Styela clava: one gene and its partner. The protein of the gene in region 2 purifies or fractionates together with the protein of the main gene of each other region. This does not show direct contact. Links are inferred from orthologs where the notes say so. Each region holds a gene or a part of one and is shown on either strand. Other genes may lie near its edges. The genes, in order: alpha-soluble NSF attachment protein-like and synaptosomal-associated protein 29-like.

Evidence for each region.
Region 1: the proteins of synaptosomal-associated protein 29-like (region 2) and alpha-soluble NSF attachment protein-like purify together in Drosophila melanogaster (affinity purification with mass spectrometry; 3 studies listed by BioGRID, with this or other methods). This does not show direct contact. The link is inferred for Styela clava from reciprocal best matches to the Drosophila melanogaster genes Snap29 and alphaSnap.

The regions. Positions count from the first base shown.
Region 1 is NC_135261.1:11,686,515-11,697,512, forward strand, and holds the start of alpha-soluble NSF attachment protein-like, read left to right. Parts: upstream 1-5,731; 5' UTR 5,732-5,776; coding exon 5,777-5,926; intron 5,927-7,009; coding exon 7,010-7,168; intron 7,169-7,631; coding exon 7,632-7,754; intron 7,755-8,338; coding exon 8,339-8,565; intron 8,566-10,542; coding exon 10,543-10,765; 3' UTR 10,766-10,998. Other genes in the region: zinc finger BED domain-containing protein 5-like, read left to right, coding at 3,105-3,678, 4,167-4,591. UniProt on the Drosophila melanogaster protein: Required for vesicular transport between the endoplasmic reticulum and the Golgi apparatus. Also between the endosome and phagosome.
Region 2 is NC_135264.1:14,194,616-14,205,992, reverse strand, and holds synaptosomal-associated protein 29-like, read right to left. Parts: upstream 5,516-11,377; 5' UTR 5,369-5,515; coding exon 5,162-5,368; intron 4,710-5,161; coding exon 4,519-4,709; intron 3,016-4,518; coding exon 2,855-3,015; intron 2,193-2,854; coding exon 2,026-2,192; 3' UTR 668-2,025; downstream 1-667. Other genes in the region: U3 small nucleolar RNA-interacting protein 2-like, read left to right, coding at 1-667.

The DNA of each region.
Region 1 (10,998 bases), on a different chromosome or scaffold from region 2:
ATGCTGTGGCCTATATAGTAGTATAAGTCTGCTGAATAGTCAAGAAGAGTCATTAAATTAATCATAAACATTTCATGCAAGCCAGAAAATATCGTTGTTTGTGACATATTATTCTAGGTCTAGCCTTCCTTGGAGTTACCGCACCGTACCGGTACCTATTTAACAACGTCTTATGAGCTAGTGCTCAACTAAAATTGCTATTTATGGCAAGGATATACAAGTGTTTAATATCTTACCTATACTTTTCAACACCTCCTTAGAATAACTGGACTAATATTACCGGTAACTGAAAAAAACTATGGAAAGGCTACTCAACGCAAAAGCGAGCAGTTGAGTACATCTGATATTCATCCGACCACTGGGGATCCACCTACAGCTGACTAACTTGACTGTTACGTCGTGCAGAAGTCTGCGTTCATTGGCCCATGATACCGGAAAAGCAGAGAAAATAGGACAGATGGTAACACATATTTATTGTAGTAAAAGCGTCTTTTCTGTAAAACGTGCAACTTTTGTAAGTGGGAACAAGGCAATATTTGTTACTAAATTTCTAAGGAACATTTTAAAATCATTTTCAGGTAGTTACCTGATGTGCGCTACGAAACTGAAAGATAAATGTCCTCGGCTCGCGGCCTAGTCGCTCGATGATTTTCGAAGCAATAATCTGTCAGAACCAAGTCGTGCGTGGCGGCGAATCCAACATCGGGACCAAATTTCCGGAGTTGCACGGGGTTGCCCTAACCAACGACTAAGGGCCACTGAGGTGTATATACAACTCAATGCCAAGGACTAACCGGTATGTCAGTCGTTGGGACTAACAGAGAAACCATGTGTCATCTATAGCAGTGCTCTTCAACCGGGTATACTGTATACCTAAGTGTATACCAGACCATAAGTAGGGTATACAATAGGGTTGCCATACCGTCCGGAAAATTCCGGACATGTCCGGAATTTAGGGTTAAATTTTGCGTCCGGGAGGAATTTAAAAAAATGCTCAAATGTCCGGAATTTTACTGCATCTGCAATCGTAATGTGCACACCGCTAATACAGAACATTGTTATTTCGTACCGTGCGCATATTTTTACTACGAGGTTGTATGAAATTGTAATATAACAGAGCGTTTTCCTTATCAATGGTGTTAAAGTTGCAAACTTTGCAAATGCTTTTAGTACTTGTGCAAATGGATAAAACCAATGGAAGAGTTTACTTATTTCAAATGGATAACCTTGAACGAGATACCAAGTTGGAAGGATGTAAAGCAGGGGTTGGCAACCTACGGCCCGCAGGCCGGATCCGGTCCGCGGAGCAATATAATCCGGCCCGCGACGCTTCACTGGATTATAGTAACAAAACAGCTGTTTTAACGATTATATTCTTTACATAACAGAATTAATTTTGCGACACGCGTAGGCTAAATTATGTTATAACCTTATAGCAACTTACCCCCAAATGTACCCCATTTCATGTTAAAAATATGAAAACAAAGTTAATTTCTCTCAAAATTCGAACAAAGACTTTCGTAGGAATCAAATTACACCAGGTTTAAGAACATAACAAGTTCCACCCAGTCATTATCAAATTAAAATCTATATTCTCAAGACCTTTGGCACTGATTGAAATAATTATATCTAAGTTCCCATCCGTACGATGTACATAATTACCCTTGTTGAGATAATAGGAATTTCTGTTTATAACGTGAATCACGAGCTCACGTTTACAGCATTTAATTGGATTTATGATCAACGTATAAATATGACTCCGATATCTTTCGATAAGGAGATGGAAAAGAGGGAAGACGATGTAAATTGTAAACCATTCAAAGCTAGTGTGGATAAATGTTATAAGATTTATATTCTGTGTATCGTGGAAATCTGAGAATAAAATCAAACAGAGTTTTCTAAAGTTTCCTTCATTCACGTGGGCGTTGAAGCTGAAGGGTGAACGGGTAACTTGCAAGTCAGAGACAATCTACGAAATAGCAATATACGGTAATATCATATTCATCTAACAATCATTTATGCTATAACCTAACAAGTATATAATTCACAATTGCACGTTTAATGACCCTATAATTTAATTATAATTACTCAAATGGCAACAAAACGCAGAAAAGTTGATGCTTAGCGCAAATGGTTTAATGGTGCAGAAAATATTCCAATGGTCAGTCTTCGTGCACTGCTCTAAATTTAACTTCTAATCTGTGTGAAAAAGTGTGATTCATCGGCTATCCGTTCGGTTTTCAACATTCTAAAAATATGAGGCCCGCCAATGACTTGCAACCTTTGGTTTTGGCCCGCGAGCGACAAAAGGTTGCCGACCCCTGATGTAAAGCCTTGCCTGGAAAATCTGATTAGTAAACGGGTTGATGTGGACGATGATAAATGATTTGACCAATTCTGTAACTTGAAGCAGTTTGTGGAAAGTTACCTACAAGACGAAGAATTTATTAAACTGCCAACGCATGAGAAATGGTGCAAATATTTCGATCAGTCTACGAACATCACATGCCACTCCGAAATTTTAAGGATTGAACAGTTTTCCTTTGCTATTACATCCCACAATGCCAATATTGTAGAGAGAGTCTTTTCACTGATGCAAAGTCAGTGGACTAAAGAGAGAAACAATTTGCGACTATAAAAGGCATGTTGACTCCCCAATATAATTTCAAAGATATGCACTGTAGTGAATTGTTTTCATTTTTGAAATCAGACAAGGAGAGAATGAGGTCTTCAGAAAAATTTGCATGGTCAGGAGAGTAAGTTTGTAGTGATTGTCTTTAATTCGTTTTAAGCATGTAATTGCTGTTCTTCCGTTTTGGCACAATCTAATTCTCATTCTTATTTTTCACTCTGAAGTTGAGATTTTTTCAGTCGACGGCCCGTAGCTATATTTAGAGTGTGCTTACCTGCCTGGTGTGAGATTCTGCTTGTAACTGAAGACAATACTTTTCATTTCGGTAGCTGGCGCTTTAGCATGAGTATCGTACAACGTTAGCATGAGTATCGTACGGCCTTAGCATTTCGGTAGCGCATATATATGGTCTCATGAAAATAGGGACCTCCTGAAAGAAGTATGTGCACCAAGATGGCGATAACATCACATGATGAAAGTTAAACGCCCGTACACAGAACTTGAACGTGTAGTGCTACCTTGTTTAGAAATTGTGGCTGACTTGATTCATGGTGGAACAAAAGCAGTTGACAAGGTCAAAAAAATTGCTGTTTCTGACACTACTGTATGGCGACGATGTGCCGTTATATCCGCAGATTTAAAAGAACAACTAATTCAGAAGTTACTAGAAGCCTCCTCCTTTGGCATTCAGTTGGATGAAAGCACTGATATAAGCAGTGAGTCTCAGCTCATGGTGTTCTGTAGATTTCCGGACATAAAATCTAACAGGATAGTTGAACATTATCTATTTTGTCAACCAGTTGAAGAAAAGGCAACTGCTGAAGCAATTTTCAATAAAATAAACGAGTTCTTTGAAGAAGAAGGGTTAGATTGGTCAAAGTGCAAATCGGTTACAACAGATGGAGCAGCAGCTATGCGAGGCTCACAGAAAGGTTTGATCGAGAGAATTAAGCGAAAGTCTCCAGAATGCATAGGAATTCATTGTATTCTCCACCGCGAGGCATTAGTAACAAAGAAACTTGAACTGAATGCAGGTGACGCTAGTGGTAGGATAGGATTTACATATTTATCCCGGGGGAGAGGAAAGCCGATAAGACGGCTTATCCATATGGCGAACCACGGCCTCTCGTCCGGTTACCATTCCAAGTCGGGTATGGGATTAGTTTTTACTGTATTGTTTGTTTTCGGAAGCATGGACTTGGTGGTGGAGGAAGCCGTAACCGACCAGCGGTTACGTGAACCACCCAACGACGGCGAGGAGTCCAGCAATCCTCTCGCACATAACCATCCCTGCATGGGATTCGAACCTGCGAACCCACGCAGAGTAATTAGAGGTGCGGTGGCGAGCGTATTCCTAACGCTTAGCCCGTTGAGCCACACCGCCGCGCCGGTAAAGAAAATGAATTACACGATGTTCTACGGGAGGTCGTATATTTTGTGAATACGATCAAGAAAAGTTCAAAACAAACGAGACTTTTCTCGAAACTATGCGAGGAAACAGCCGCCACTTCCAAAAAACTTCTTTTACATTCAGAAGTACGGTGGCTGTCCCGAGGAAAAGTTCTTTCTCGTGTGTTTGAACTTCGAGAACAATTAGGGGCGTATTACACTGAACGAGGAGACCAAAAAGCCAACAGGTTTCGTAATATATATTGGATTGCAAAATTAGCGTACATGGCGTCGATTTTTGATCGTTTGAATCAAGTGAACGTCAGTCTTCAAGGGAAGGGAGGTGATATATTTCGATCGACTAGCAAAATCAATGCTCTGAAGATGAAAATTCAACTCTGGAAAAATAATGCTTCTTCGAGAAACTTCATTGACTTTCCCCTGTTAAGTCAATATTTGAAAGAGTCTGGGTGGGAGTTTGAGGACGTTTCAACGATAAATACCATGGTTATGAACGAATTGCCGAAACTATGCAAGAACAAAGAAGCCACTGAAACTACACTAAATTAATTGCGTCTGTCAGTAAAAACTAAAAGAAGCATTTATAATGACTCGCCCCGCCACTTCGATTTTAGTTTTTATACAATCTGTTCCTAACATTTATTGCTCATTTTAGCTTTAAATAAACATTGGTAATTGTAAGGTATACAAAGTTCTCGTAAAATTGTAAAAGGTATACCACGAAAAAAAAGGTTGGAGAACACTGATCTATAGTGTCATGGCAGCGTTAGGAGTGCTCGAAATAAGTAACACTAGAGGGACCAAAAGTGACTCAGTCATCATTATAAAAAGGACGAGCTCGATCAAAATAAACCTGCAGTATTTATTTCAGAGCTGCGGTTCTTTCAGTTCCGAATTTCTATAATTCTTTTTATTCTATAATTCAGATTCAGAACAGAACTTTGTATATTGAAATAGCTTGTTCAACTACAGAACTACCGGTACCGGTAACTTACCTGATAAATAAAATGAACAGTTACAGAATTACGATATATACCGTAACGTTACAGGTACCGGTATCTCTGTATACTACAGGGGTAGTCTACCGTAGTCCGTGTATACTGATACTGTGGTGTATAAGTATAACAGTAACGTATACGGTTATAAGTTTATTTCGACTCCATAATCAGCAATAGACAATTAAAATAATTGATAAAAACAAAATAAATAAAACTGATTATAGAATCGGGAAAGCAAACGAAACCTCAAGTAAGGTTTAAAGCGTACAGATTTTAGCCTAGTTCTGTAGGTGGGAAGTTATCGATAAAATAAGTACGGTACTTTAGTATGGTACCTAGTCTGGTGTTCGCTTACCGGTACCCAAAAGTATTAAAACTAATTAAGGCACGCACACACTGACATACAATCATCAAGACTGAAACATGATAAGATCGGGAGTAAAAAAAGCGAGAAAATAAAATCCAATTAGCCTACTCAGTAAAAAAGAAAAATATAGGGTACATGGTCTGGAAATACCGCCTTGGTTTTGCGGCAGCTGCAGACGCCACAGAATACTTAAAACTGCACTTGATGGAATTAGTCAACAAGAGTTATATAATGTGGATAGAAAAATATTCCTCAAAAGATATCATCAAGCTGATTACTGGTACTGTAAGTTCGTAACATTATATTTGTATATCTGTATTATAGTCTGATAGTATAAGTTAGATTTGTTACAAACATTAATATCGAACTATGGATAAAGAACAAGAGGCCTGCCAGTTGATGGCTGAGGCTGAGAAAAGCCTCAACTCATCAAAGGGATTTTTCTCTAAATTACTAGGATCTGGATCTAAACAAGAAGAAGCATGTGAAAAATTTGTTCGGGCAGCAAATATGTTTAAGGTGAATTTGTATGATATCTTTACATCTCAGCTTGTAGGCTACTGTACATCATTTCTTCTACTATCATTATTCTGATATTAGTTTTTAAAGTCAATAATTTTTGTAACAGTATGCAGTACCGTATGCCACAGTTCTCCGATTCCAAGATATCTTGACATTTTGTTCAATAAAACTTTTACTTGATTTGTCTATGAAACGAGGCCATCTGGCATGACGGCAGCTCAGGAAGGTTTTGACAATATTGGTTGATGTCCCTCCTTCATACCTTTCAATCATGTTTGGTGTCCTATTGGTGCAGTATTTATAGATAGCTTCTATAGCCTCACATGGTTTCACAATGCATGTTTAGTTTTGACTTGATACTGCTTGTGAAAACAAATCTGTGTGTGTGATTTCTATGTGGAATTTTACTCATCATAATAATACAAGAATTAAATTGATCAATTTAATCTGTTGCTTTAAGGAGAATACTTTGAAACATGCAGTAATTTTTTTTGATCTTCGATCCACTTTCAGTATACCTGATATCTTGGAGATCTTCATCCTGTCACAAACTATTTCCAAATAATACACAGCAGAAAATAGGTGTCACTTTATATGCGATCTCAGTAATTTAGTATTATGTTATTATCTGACCCTAAATTAACGGTGACATGGTTAGGTTCAGGAATTGAACTCAATGAAAAATTATGAAATTCGTTGAACGCATACGAAAGTGTCACCACAATTGATCCCACTTTAATATTCGATTGAGATCATGTGTGGCTAGTGAGATCACATACCAAAGTAGTTATTTGATGCTGAGATCGCATACCGAAATAGCATCAGAAAATACTATAAGTAATATCAAAATTTGTGTATCTTATGTTATTGGGTACGTGCATCTCAGCTCAGCTCAATTTTCTTAATTTGCCGATAAAACTGTAGTCTTTCCAATGTAGCATAAAATTATAACATATCTTATAAATCTATAAATTCAATTTGAATATGCATTTCATGCATTAATGACTTTTTACCGTATAGTAATTTCAGATCATAGGTTATCGTCGTTATATATAATTTTTCGTTTGTTCTTTGCTCCAGATGTTGAAAAAATGGAACGAAGCAGGAAATGCATTCTGTAAGTCTGCAGATATTCAACAATCACTACAGAATAAACACGAGTCGGCTTCCAATTTTGTTGATGCTGGGAATTGTTATAAAAAATCAGATGCAGATGCGGCTATCAAATGTTTGACAAGGGTGAGATGAACATATTATTGCTTAGTAGGATTGTACGTTTTTGGTTAGTTTAGTAAAAACTTTATTTTCGCATTAGAATCACAAAAAAATGATTTGTGTTATCTAGTTTTTTTGCAAAGAAATTTGATTTGATCAAAGATCCTGTTATTCTAGTAACAGGTAATAGGATACGAATAGTTTGAATTTTGAAGAATGGGAATTTATAATTTTGCTCATTTCCATTGCCTCCAGTAATTATAGAAGGTTTGTGCATTGGCTCGGCCATTTCCATTCCTTATTACGGTTAATAAATCGAAATATAATTAATTAAACTATGATAGCCAATGTCTTGCATTCATGCAAAACTATGCATAAATTTGTGTATAATGTTTCTATTCTAACTTTTATTTACAAATTGACTATCGCCACATAAAATAAATATACAAATGATTTTATGAAAACATAAAAATAATGTTTAATACAGGCTATTGATATTTATACTGATATGGGGAGATTTACAGTTGCTGCAAAACATCATATATCCGTTGCGGAAATTTATGAAAACGAGACTTCAAAACTTGAAGAAGCCATTTCTCATTATGAGCGAGTAGGTCTATTTTTTCACATATTCTTCTTATACATTTTATTATTTTGTTGTGTAAAATGACCATTCTGATTTTACAATTCGTTTGATGTTATTTCAGAATACAGCACAATGTTATTCACAAAAACTATCACTGATAATAAATAACATGTGAAAATTGGAGGCTGTATAATATTGATATGACTGGTAAATGTGTTTTTTAAAACTTCATGTATAATTTAAAGCCATTGACATAGAGATTTCGACTAATGGGTTCCGATATGGCTTGTATTAGGTTACAGATTTGATTTGATGGGGTAATAAAAATGATAGCACCAACATTATATGCCAGGTGTGAAAGTAAATTGTGAGTTCAAATAAAGTGGGAAGTTGGATGTTATTCGAATTTGTAATCTGAGCATTTATTAGAATTGATCTAGAATTAACTTAACATTGTACACCACTGATCATATACATTTTTGAAGATTCAAGAAAGTATTTTCAAACAACCTTGCAGGCAGCATAAAATGTTTTCTTTTAGGTTGGGCAGGCCTGCTCACTGTATAGTACTTCCACCACAATATTAACCAAAATTTCTGTTTGTATAGGCTGCAGATTTTTATAAGGGCGAAGATTCGACGAGTAGTGCAAATAAGTGCTGGTTGAAGGTGGCGGCCTATGCAGCTCAGCTTGAGCAATATACAAAAGCCATAGAATTATATGAGCGTGTTGGAATGTCATCAATGAATAGTCCGTTGTTAAAATATTCGGTGAAAGAGTACTTCTTCAAATCAGCACTCTGCCATTTTTGTTTGGGTGGAACAATCGATGCAATGTAAGTGATTTACATGTTACTATTGATTTATTGACTTAATAAATTGAGTCTAAATCTCATTAACTTTGAGGAAATATGAACTCACTCACAAGCACCTGAGTCGGGATGATCTGTACGGATTCAGTCTCCGAAAAATCTGTTAAATTGCCTTATCCAACTTACTGAATGCCTTTAGGTAGGATTATCAAAAATTTTATTTATAGAGAAAAATCACCATATTCATGATTATTCACAGTTGAATGAAAGCACTGAGAATTCTAGACGTCGTATTTACAATCGAGATTAAAACTATTAAGTTGGGGGCTGGGGCATTACAGCAGTGCCAAAGGTGACACTACCTTGACTACGGACTCATTCCATACCGTTCCAAATCCCCACGATGACAGTTCATAATTTATTAAGCGTGTCTGGCCATTTACAAATCGGGTATCAGTGAAGTAGGTGACTACCTTATCGTCTGTTTCTATAATGTTGACTTGTATAAAGTGGTTTGTACTATGGTGCAGCAGATGTTGGAATTTGATGTTCAAAATCAGCCATATTTTATTAATTTTATTCAAAGGAAATAGATAAAGCTTAATCATATGAAATGGTGATATTTTCGTACTAAATATCAGATATAAAAGTAACAGCGTTATCAACTCATTATCAGGGAATAAAAGTTTCAACTTTCAATCTTAAATAATCAGACCATTGTTTTTTTGTTAATCATATTTACGTCAATTATGATTATGAGATAATCACTCATTTCCTGACAATTGTTATTGTGAGTCAGAGAACTGTGAAAGCTGAAAAAGTCAGCTGACTATAAATAATTTAGTGTGGGATGCATACTTCAAATCACCTGGGTATCCTTGAATATGAATCATTTTACAAAGTATTTATTCAACTGGGTCTTTTAAAAAATATTGTGAATGAAGAATGAAATTCCTTGTGAGGGTTTACCAGAAGATAAGTCTCGAGCAACAACAGAACAGAAAAGTATATTTTGCTATCATCAAAGTGTTGAGACTTTCACATACTGGTTTATTAACCATGGAAGTGGACTTGTGGGGAAAAAATTCTTTTCTCTCCAGGACTCCAGCTAATGGATCAATCAATTTCAATCTGTAATTCTACTTTACTACTGTATCTATGTATTTGGTGATATAGTATGAGATTTCATAATATCAGCATAAATATATAAATGTGTGTAACTCATGCCTCTGATTACTGTAATATTCCTAATTTTTCTTGTCTTGGCTTCAACTGCTATCAGGTAATGTGGGTAAAAGTTGTTTTGACAGAAAAAAAATTTAGAATAATGATCAGATCTAATGCATTTGCAAAGACTATAAATTTACACCATTTTTACAATTTGATTCAAATTCAGTTCAAGTTTTTAATAGTTATAGATGGAAGTAGTCGAAAGAAAGCTATTACTTCAATTCTTTTTTTTCAAATTTTCTCACAGGTTTTATGAGGCTTGATATTTTATCTGAAAAGAAGACATTTTGTTCTGTATTACTAGTCCACCTTCATATCGTTCTTCTACAGTTCTACCCATGTTTTCGGCAAATACAGTGCTCTCAGTCCTTCCTCCACTGATTCACGATCTTCGTGTCTATGTATATGAGATTTTAGCATTACCCACTTATTATAATTGTGATAAAGATGATACTAAATGTCCAAAAGGCAATAGACTATTCTCAGCAACCTAAATTAGTGTTAGGGAGAAAATTGCTAAATATTGGAAGCAAACTATCAGAAATGTAATCCCTGTTTCGTTGCAATCTAATTAGATTCATCTATTTTATTCATGAGGTTCCAATTTAAATTGCCTGCCTTGCCTTGAAACAAGGGTTCGTGGTTTAGGGTAAATTACATGCGTCACTATCGGTAGGCCTAACTACATAGTCCGCACCATTTTAGTTTTTATTTATGTTAATTACTATTTTGTTCTGTGAGGCTTATTAATTTTATAATTTCTTCTTAAAGGCAATCATTGGAGAAATACGAAGGTCTCTTTCCAGCATTTTCTGACAGTAGAGAATGCCAATTGTTGAAGAGTTTAATCGAGACACATGACAACCAAAATTCTGATGCATTTGCGGAAGCAGTTGCAAAATATGATTCGATATCTCGCATTGACCAGTGGCTGACCACAATCCTTCTACGAATCAAAAAGACAATAGGGAATGATGATGAAGATCTTACATAGCTTTGTTTGACTTTAAACAGTATTTGAGATGAATTCTGGTACAAGTATTTGTTAATACTTAGTCTATTATATATAAATAATAATATTATAACAAGTTTACAGTCAAAACAAGAATCTTTCTCATTAATAATATATCATTGTAAAATATTCTAACTAAGAGGGTTTCTTGCTAAATAATTCAGGGCCCGAAAATTTCACTTCTATAATGAGCTACCAAGCATAAAGATTTCTTC
Region 2 (11,377 bases):
AAGCGGTGTTGCTTTTCGATTGAATTCACACCAACTTTTTTCAAGTTCGTTTGATCGCTGTGTTAAGGTCTGGGACCTTGATGCGATGGGTTATGTAGAGACGTTATTCGGACATCAGGACCTGGTCCAAGCATGTGACAGCCTGTCCAGGGAGAGATGTGCCACAGCTGGTGGACGGGATGGATCAATACGAATTTGGAAAATAGCTGAAGAATCGCAACTTGTCTATCACGGTCACAATGGATCCATAGACTGCCTAAAACTTATCAACGAAGAATATTTCATCTCTGGAGCGGATGATGGGTCAATTTGTCTATGGAGTGTAATGAAAAAGAAGCCGACTACTTGTGTAAAAAATGCACATCCGGATTCGAGTAGTAAAAGCCCTTGGATAACTGCCGTCACAGCTTTAATAAACTCTGATTTAGTGGCAACTGGCTCGTCTAACGGAGCAGTAAAAATCTGGAAATGCGGACCCAAATTTTTAACCATTGAACACCTTTTTGATATACCAGTTGTTGGATTTGTGAACAGTTTACAATTTTCACCGACTGGGAATAAGCTTTTTATAGGTGTGGGACAAGAACACAGACTGGGAAGATGGTGGTGTCTAAAAGAAGCAAGAAACTCTATCATAATTGTATCTTTATTTGAGGAAAAGGCATGAAATACATTAGCATTGCACACATTGTGGAGTTATTTGTGTACAAGGTTTAGACTTCAAAAATCCCCAGCCAGATGCACGTTCGTATTCCATTGCATAAATTTACATGTTCATTATAAACTATTTCAATAAATAGTTTACTAAACCTTATAATATAAGCCAGTCCATATATTATACGCAATATCTTCAGTCTAGTATAGAAAGCAGGGAACAGCTATTGAGGTGTTGGATCCCCCGCTTTTGAAATGCAAAAATAGCTATTTTTCGTAGCCACAACTAGACCCTTGAAGAGCCACAATTTCCGGCCAGACCCAGTGAACAGAAATTTCTAAACGCCTCTGGCAGTCCTCGAGTCCAAAACTAGTTATTATTAAGAAGGCATCTCAGAAGAATAGCAAACAAATCTTATATTAACATCTGAATATAATTCTTGATTGACCCATAGAAGTCTATAACATACTTATAACTATAATAATCCCGCCGATCACATAAGACTTAAAGACTATATACTCAGTCATCACATATTTTAGCAAAGTAAAGGATACAAATCTGTTACTATTGGAACCTTGCACAGATCACAGCACTATTGGGGGCAGGTTTATTGGCAAGGATTTCTAATAAATATTGGCTTAAACTAGGCTTTATTAGAACCTTAAATGGAAGATCATCAATTTCACACCTACACTGTAGGTATTCTATACAGTGAACATCCTTTCCAAGGTTTATAATAGAAAGAAAATGGTTATAATAAGCTTTAATAATATGCCACACTTCATATCTTTTACATCAGTGTGAAAAACTATATACAAAAAATAATACAAGGAACCATAAGGTTGTTTTTAAATATTAGGAGCGTCAATGGGCCTTATGCTTCAATAATAAAAATTAGTCTCGAATTTCTAATTACTATGTTCTACTATTTATAGAAAGGTGAAGTATAGTGAGTGATGCGCAGAATGATAAAGTCAGATCTTGATTGGGTATTTTAAGGTTTATCATCAGACAAAAATAAACTTTTGGGAAAGAGAATATGAATAAACATCCTGCATTACGACTGAAATTCACGAGCTATTTTTGAAATATTCTTCTTATTCAAAAACGTTTCCGGATGTATTTGATTTTGGCCATCCCTACTAGAAAAATCTCGCTAAAAACAAACTCAAGGAATACACAAATAAACTGAGACATGCATCCAGTGGATCAGAAAACCGCTATTCAATTCAAGAAGCAATATGTTGAATTTCATCATTATTTTTACAAATTATTCATTAATGCTCAGCCGCTTCTACTTTTTTTAGGAATCACATCTATGAAAAATACTACAATAATATATGGACAAAAATAGCAACATATTTTAAAGCCTATGAATGATTCAATTTCATTAACTGCTTGCTAGTAATGTGTGTCTTATTATCGACTCTTTCGACCTTATCACCAAGCCTTGTCAAAATCCTATCCTGTGATTCAATTTCTTCTCCTAAACCAATTCCAAGATCTTTGAGCCTTCGTAATCCCGAAGAAATTTGATCTGAAATAGAGATAACAAGGATATTTGGTGTTTACCAGTGTTAATAAGACTTGAGTCAGGTTGCATTCGTGTCACCATTTATCGTTAAAACTCATGAGTGACTTGAGTCATAAAATGAGACGACCACCCAGACTCATTAATTAATCAGATAATCCCTGATCTGACTTAACACGCCACTCAGGTTTAGGGAGCTGTAGTGTTGTTTAACAAAAATTTCTGATAGTAGCTTTGATAATAGGAATATTACTTTTTCACAGACTTTTTCCCAATAGTACTCAGTAAGTACTCAGACAAAGGTTAGCCTCAACCTCTAATACTAAGTTTTTTTGCTGTGTAATCATAAATTTCACGATGTATGGTATTTATATTCGCTACATCGTAATATTCAGTAATAATATGTCCCATTCTCCATACCCAAACTATATACCTGACATCAGTCATATGGAAGTCCTATCACTTCCTATTACTTTGATTATCATCGGGGCAGGGAAAGACGATAAGACTGCATAATCATATGGCGGACTTCGTCTGGGTATCAATCCAGGTATGGAGTTAGTTAAGCATTTATTTATTTCAGATGCATGGACTTGAGCAAACAAAATCATACTATATTTGAATCTTATTAACAGACATAAATAGGCAGCAATAAATTCGAGACAAACCCAAGTTATCATCGACTTGTGCCATTCTCTCATTCTTAGCTTGTTGTTGGCTATATCCTGCTCCATATCTTTCCCTGGAATCATCTTGTCTTAACAATACTGGATGATCTTCTTCAGGTTGATATCCAGATACTTTGGAATTCACGACGGCCTTTCCTAACCTGGAAAAGAAGATTTAAATTTGAAAACCTAGTTAGGGAGATTTTGCTATGATAGCTGCTTTTCGTCCACAGATTTCTCCAACTACAGTAACAACATTTGTGTTCATTAGAAATATGATTTTCTTAGAGAGAAGAGCTGGAGTCTAAATTATCTTTCTGGTGCCAGAGACAAATTTTTTGTCAAGCAGTCTTTTTCAAATGGCTCAAAGTTTGGAATGGAATGTGAATATTTCCGATATCCTTTTACATTCAACATTATTTAGAAATAATTTAGGAATTATACATGGAAGTCTAATGGTTCATATATGGCTATGTTTGGCAAGAGAATAGGGTTTGACAGCAAAACAATTTTGTTTCACATGTCCTCATTTCACATCAATGACTCTCAGTCAGCTAAAATAGCCATGTGAAACAGCTTATTGTAAAGGTCACTTCGTACAATAACTTTACTCTGTTCCAAAAGGGGGAAATGAATCATATGATGATTCAAAGGTCAACTATTGATATAACTTGTCTAAACTTTCTACACGGTGAAACATAGCATTCATGATCACAACACCAACTCATTATAGAAAATAACACCAACAATATGGTGACCAAACATTTGAACCCACGTACATTTGAACCCATGTGTATATCCACGGGTTAGGGTTAGTGTGGGTTCAACTATCCGAAAAACAAAAAAATTCCATAGGTGCAATAGCATACAGGTGCAATTGTCATGGGTTCAAATGTACGTGGGTTCAAATGTAATGGAACCCAACAATATATATAGGCCATATACGTAGGCCAAGCAAGAATAAGTTATGCTACAAGCACACACTACATCAAATTATAATTAACATTATATAACTATTGAAACTGAAACTATCAATATGATGATTGAATTATAATCATAATAAATAATTTCAGTAAATTAAACTAAGATTTCACTTCCTAATGAAGACTAATCCTAATCATAAATCCCTGTTAATAATAAATATGCTCAAAACCAATTACATTCTAGACTAACAGGAGTCCAATTAAATTATCTATTGGATTTACCTCGATAAAAACCAATTTAAAGCCATTTAAAAAAAATTCAGATATTTATAATTTGATACTTATGCATCAGAATTGCAAAGTAGGACAAATTATACGATGTATAAATAAATCAATTTTGAACATTCAAAAATGGTCATTAACACCCTTGAAATAGCATTGACTATGCCAATAAAAATATATGTCTCACTCAATCGCTAAAAAGAAAAGTTGATCACGAATGATATTTCCAGCATTATATACCATCACTCCTGCACTGCACAAAAACACTATGAAAACTGAACTGCTGTTCCTAGAATTTTATTAAAGAAAGAAATTTGAATATCAATGCCAATCTTTTAATAACATGTTATCGAGAGCTTTATATTTTAGTATCCTGTATCACACGAAAAAAACTTCTATGAAATCAATCTGTTTTACTTAGTCATATACCAAGGTGGGCCATATTTGACTAAAACTAACCGTGAGTCTGGTTGTGAATCATCATATGTTGTGACTGGAGTTGGTGCAGGTTCCTTCCTGAATTTATTGACAAAAGCTCCCCATAAACTTTTTATACTGGCGATATGTCGATCGCTTTCTTTTAAATCTTGTTCCATTCGGTCAACCCGTTGTTCAGTGCGTTTTAAAGCTTCGCCTTGCCTTATGAGCTCCTGTAATATAAAGTTAATGATAATAAGACATCTGGACACGGAAAAATTGAATAATACTCCACTGTCAGGACTGAATGTTTAAGGATGTCCCTACTACTGGAAGTTGAAACTCTCCACTTGTGTACCTTATAGGCCACGCTTACAATGATCTAAGGCTATTCCAAAGGTCTATCAATACATCAAAGCACCTGAGCAATAAATATGGAGGACTATTCATTACAAACTAACATGATGATAAACAGTGCTTGGGAGACTTAGGACATTGACTAAACTTGAGTCCTCATTCATTGAATACTCGAAAGTGACCCAGAGTCGTACTCTAAATAATCGCCAGGCGAGTCTTAACTCAGTGATCGACTCGACATGAGACCATGACTCGGCTTGACTTTAGAGAATTAGGGAAACATGTAATAGGAAATTAGGTTGTACATTTATTTTATATGTATATTTACCTCCCCAGTAGCTGCTCCCACTTGCTCAGATTCATAAATCATTCCTAATGATCTTTGGGTGCTTGCAACCATATCAACTTCTTTACGTTTGACAACTTGTTCAAGATAGTTTTTATCTGGATCAAAATCTTCTTCGTCATCATCTGCCCATCGATTTGGCGGACGTGACGACGACTCCACGTCATCCAACCATGGATTTCCAGACATTTTGCAAAATTTTCATAAAATAAAATTAGTAGTCCGAGTATAGCAGTTTTCCAGAGATATAGTCTTGTTTTGTGATACAGTTAGCTTACAAATACGTTCGTCAAAATATATAATATTACCCTACCTTACTAAAGTCAGAAATTTATCTGTAAATGAAGACAAAGAATATAAGTCCCGTAATTCTGTAATTTAGCAATTTTATCAAAAATCTGAAAATGGGCTGAAGTGATTTTTTATAGGACCAATGTTTCTTTTGAAAGAAATCTTTGAAATACCGAAATAAGCCAGGTCAGTCGTATAGAGTTGTATAATATCCGAATACAGGTATAGGTATGTATGTGAATTAATTTCATATTTCTGTATTTTTGGGTGAGTGAACATATCATTCCTCTCACCTCTTTATGTTTTTATCAATCATTTTATTGTCTGTTATGACTGTATGATGATTACAGAGTCGAAATAAAGTTATACTTATTATTATAACAATAAGTTTACTTTTATCCCACTAGAAAAATGTACACATACACCAAAATATAACCATGAACACACAAAAGATAGGGAAAACTGGCAAGAATCTGAGTAAAAAATATTTAAATCACACATTCAGTCTCAGCCATTGCAAAAACAGAAATACCTAAAACACACTGGTTCTAGCCAAAGCAGCAAAGTGACTACAGCCGTAGTCACTGTGGTTCCAGCACAACTCTGCAACTTGCATCAAACCTGTCCGATCCGGGTCTCATGTACTTTCTTACCTGAATAACTTCTAGTGGGCGTGGCGTAACAATTTTTGGATATATGATTCCTGACCCCCACCTGATGACGTCATCCAAAAATTACGTCACTGCGACGTCACAATAACGAAATACAGCTTGCCAAAGTATAGCGACGGTCACCCGTAATGGCGCCTACGAGTATGTCAACAAACTCAATACGTCAGCGACCTCTCTCTTATCGGGGTCGTTGTACAGAGCTCAAAATAAACAAGAATCACAAGCGACTAAATTGTCGCCAAGGAACGTTCACGATATCCCATTCTGACCAATTTCTGTCCAGCAATAGCTCATGTATCGTGCTACAATCTAAAATAGAGCGTTATACGATACAACTCTAACCAAGGCTTTAGACAAGCAGAAAATACATGTTATTTTACGCAATGGTTGAAGTTGGGTACCACACACATAAAGACTTGTTATTTAATATCCAGAGACTGATCATGTATTGGGCCACATTTTATTAATAGGACGTGGAACGCTTTCACTCTATGCAAGGCTTTAGACAAGCAGAAACCGACATATTAATTTGCTTTAGCGCAATGGATGTAGTTTCTTACCTCGATAACTTATACTTATCTTAGCGTAACAATTTTTGCATATATCATTCCTGACCCTCACCTGACTTCGTCATCCCAAAATTACGTCAATGCGATGTCACAATAACGAAATCGAGCTTGCCCAATAATAGCGACCATAATGCAATCGTGATAATTACGCCTGTGTGTCCGGTATGGGTGTAGTTTCGTACCTCAATAACTTCTAGTTAACTTAGCGTAACAATTTTTGCACGTAATATTCCTGACCCTCACCTGATTTGATCATCAAAAAATTACGTCAATACGACGTCACAATAACGAAATAGAGCTTGCCTAATAATAGCGACGATTACTGGTAATGCCACCTATGGATGTAGTTTCTTACTTCAATAACTTTTAATTATCTTAGCGTAACAATTTTTGCATATAAAATTTCTGACCCTCACCTGACTTCATCATCCAAAAATTACGTCAATGCGACTTCACAATAACGAAATAGAGCTTGCCTAATAATAGCGACCATAATGCAATTGTGTTAAATACGCCTGTCTGTCCGCTATGGGTGTAGTTTCTTACCTCAATAACTTCTAGTTAACTTAGCGTAACAATTTTTGCATATATCATTCCTGACCCTCACCTGACTTCGTCATCCAAAAATTACGTCACTGGAACGTCACAATCACGAAATAACGCTTGCCCAATAATAGCGACGATTACTAGTAATGACACCTATGGATGTAGTTTCTTACCTCAATAACTTCTAGTTAACTTAGCGTAACTATTTTTGCATATAATATTCCTGACCCTGCCCTGACTTCGTCATCCAAAAATTACGTCAATGCGAACTCACAATAACGAAATAGAGCTTGCCTAATAATAGCGACCATAATGCAATCGTGATAAATACGCCTGTGTGTCCGCTATGGGTGTAGTTTCGTACCTCAATAACTTCTATTAGGCTTAGCGTAACAATTTTGGTATATAAGATTCCTGACCCTCACCCGACTTCGTCATCCAATAATTACGTCACTGCAACGCCACAATAACGAAATAGAGCTTGCCCAATAATAGCGACGTTATTCGTAATGGCACCTATGGATGTAGTTTCCTACCTACATAACTTCTAGTTAACTTAGCGTAACAATTTTTGCATATATCATTCCTGACCCTCACCTGACTTCGTCATCCAAAAATTACGTCACTGGAACGTCACAATCACGAAATAACGCTTGCCCAATAAAAGCGACGATTACTAGTAATGACACCTATGGATGTAGTTTCTTACCTCAATAACTTCTAGTTAACTTAGCGTAACAATTTTTGCATATATCATTCCTGACCCTCACCTGACTTCGTCATCCAAAAATTACGTCAATGCGAATTCACAATAACAAAATAGAGCTTGCCTGATAATAGCGACCATAATGCAATCGTGATAAATACGCCTGTGTGTCCGCTATGGGTGTAGTTTCTTACCTCAATAACTTCTAGTTAACTTAGCGTAACAATTTTTGCATATATCATTCCTGACCCTCACCTGACTTCGTCATCCAAAAATTACGTCACTGGAACGTCACAATCACGAAATAACGCTTGCCCAATAATAGCGACGATTACTAGTAATGACACCTATGGATGTAGTTTCTTACCTCAATAACTTCTAGTTAACTTAGCGTAACAATTTTTGCATATAATATTCCTGACCCTGCCCTGACTTCGTCATCCAAAAATTACGTCAATGCGAACTCACAATAACGAAATAGAGCTTGCCTAATAATAGCGACCATAATGCAATCGTGATAAATACGCCTGTGTGTCCGCTATGGGTGTAGTTTCGTACCTCAATAACTTCTATTAGGCTTAGCGTAACAATTTTGGTATATAAGATTCCTGACCCTCACCCGACTTCGTCATCCAATAATTACGTCACTGCAACGCCACAATAACGAAATAGAGCTTGCCCAATAATAGCGACGTTATTCGTAATGGCACCTATGGATGTAGTTTCCTACCTACATAACTTCTAGTTAACTTAGCGTAACAATTTTTGCATATATCATTCCTGACCCTCACCTGACTTCGTCATCCAAAAATTACGTCACTGGAACGTCACAATCACGAAATAACGCTTGCCCAATAAAAGCGACGATTACTAGTAATGACACCTATGGATGTAGTTTCTTACCTCAATAACTTCTAGTTAACTTAGCGTAACAATTTTTGCATATATCATTCCTGACCCTCACCTGACTTCGTCATCCAAAAATTACGTCAATGCGAATTCACAATAACAAAATAGAGCTTGCCTGATAATAGCGACCATAATGCAATCGTGATAAATACGCCTGTGTGTCCGCTATGGGTGTAGTTTCTTACCTCAATAACTTCTAGTTAACTTAGCGTAACAATTTTTGCATATATCATTCCTGACCCTCACCTGACTTCGTCATCCAAAAATTACGTCACTGGAACGTCACAATCACGAAATAACGCTTGCCCAATAATAGCGACGATTACTAGTAATGACACCTATGGATGTAGTTTCTTACCTCAATAACTTCTAGTTAACTTAGCGTAACAATTTTTGCATATAATATTCCTGACCCTGCCCTGACTTCGTCATCCAAAAATTACGTCAATGCGAACTCACAATAACGAAATAGAGCTTGCCTAATAATAGCGACCATAATGCAATCGTGATAAATACGCCTGTGTGTCCGGTATGGGTGTAGTTTCGTACCTCAATAACTTCTAGTTAACTTAGCGTAACAATTTTTGCACGTAATATTCCTGACCCTCACCTGATTTAATCATCAAAAAATTACGTCAATACGACGTCACAATAACGAAATAGAGCTTGCCTAATAATAGCGACGATTACTGGTAATGCCACCTATGGATGTAGTTTCTTACTTCAATAACTTTTAATTATCTTAGCGTAACAATTTTTGCATATAAAATTTCTGACCCTCACCTGACTTCATCATCCAAAAATTACGTCAATGCGACTTCACAATAACGAAATAGAGCTTGCCTAATAATAGCGACCATAATGCAATTGTGTTAAATACGCCTGTCTGTCCGCTATGGGTGTAGTTTCTTACCTCAATAACTTCTAGTTAACTTAGCGTAACAATTTTTGCATATATCATTCCTGACCCTCACCTGACTTCGTCATCCAAAAATTACGTCACTGGAACGTCACAATCACGAAATAACGCTTGCCCAATAATAGCGACGATTACTAGTAATGACACCTATGGATGTAGTTTCTTACCTCAATAACTTCTAGTTAACTTAGCGTAACAATTTTTGCATATAATATTCCTGACCCTGCCCTGACTTCGTCATCAAAAAATAACGTCAATGCGAATTCACAATAACGAAATAGAGCTTGCCTAATAATAGCGACCATAATGCAATCGTGATAAATACGCCTGTGTGTCCGCTATGGGTGTAGTTTCTTACCTCAATAACTTCTATTAGGCTTAGCGTAACAATTTTTGTATATAATATTCCTGACCCTCACCTGACTTCGTCATCCAAAAATTACGCCACTGCGACGTCACAATAACGAAATAGAGCTGATCACCCTCAATGGCGTCGGCGATTATGTTAACAAACTCAATGAGGCCCGCCACCTCACGATCACACACATCTAAAGATTTGGTATTTTATATCCAGCAACAGGTTATGCATTGTGCTGTTAGTTATTATTAGGGCGTTTTACGATAGTACTCTATGTAAGGCTTTAGACAAGCAGAAAGAACATATTAATTCACGCAATGGTTGAAGTTGGATACCACACACATAAAGATTTGTTATTTTATGCCCAGCGATAGATTATGTAATGTGCTACTATCTACTAATAGGGCGGTATACGATATCACTCCAAGCAAGTCTTTAAACAAGCAGAAGCGGACATATTGATTTTAAGTTCACGTTGTCCGTGTAGTTTCCTTTGTCCATAACTTCATTTTGCCGTCAATCGATACAATTTCGAGTTACGTTGAACACAACTAAATTTTACTAGACAGATAAATCGTTATACGCTGAAAAGTCAACTTTTTTAATGTTCGGGAAGAAAGACAATCGTCTCGAATGTGGGACACACTGTGCAAGTGTAAGACAAGCATGTAATCACGGAGATTGATTCGGAAATTTCGAATTTTAACCCCGCCTCATTTAAAGGCTAAAATAGTCACACTACAACATTGTCAAATGTGCTGTATTTACGACAGATAACAGGTTTACCAAAAAGAATTACATGCAAAATGGTAAAATAAAGATCAATTCAGCAATATCTACTTGGTGATATTCATCTGTTGATGATTTTATGTGTTTGTTTCGGAAGTTTAATAACAGAAGTAATTGTGGTTGTTGGGGATGTTTTAAAAAAGGTTGCATGGAAAAAAGTTTTCACAAAATGTCAAGGTTTGATAGTAGTAGAGAAGTAGAAAAAATACTCCCATGTTTGTTTTTTCATTTGATAACCACGCCACAGAACTTCCCCGATAAGTATACGCAGCAATTGCGAGAGGCAGAAATGCTAAGATGGGATTTCATCGCATTACAAACCAATATTAGCAATTCTTATATATATTCGCGCATTCCCATCTGAACAGCGTGGAAAAGATTGTACCCATCTACACACTTTAAGAACTATGTCAGATGAGCGTCATATTATCGAATATCAG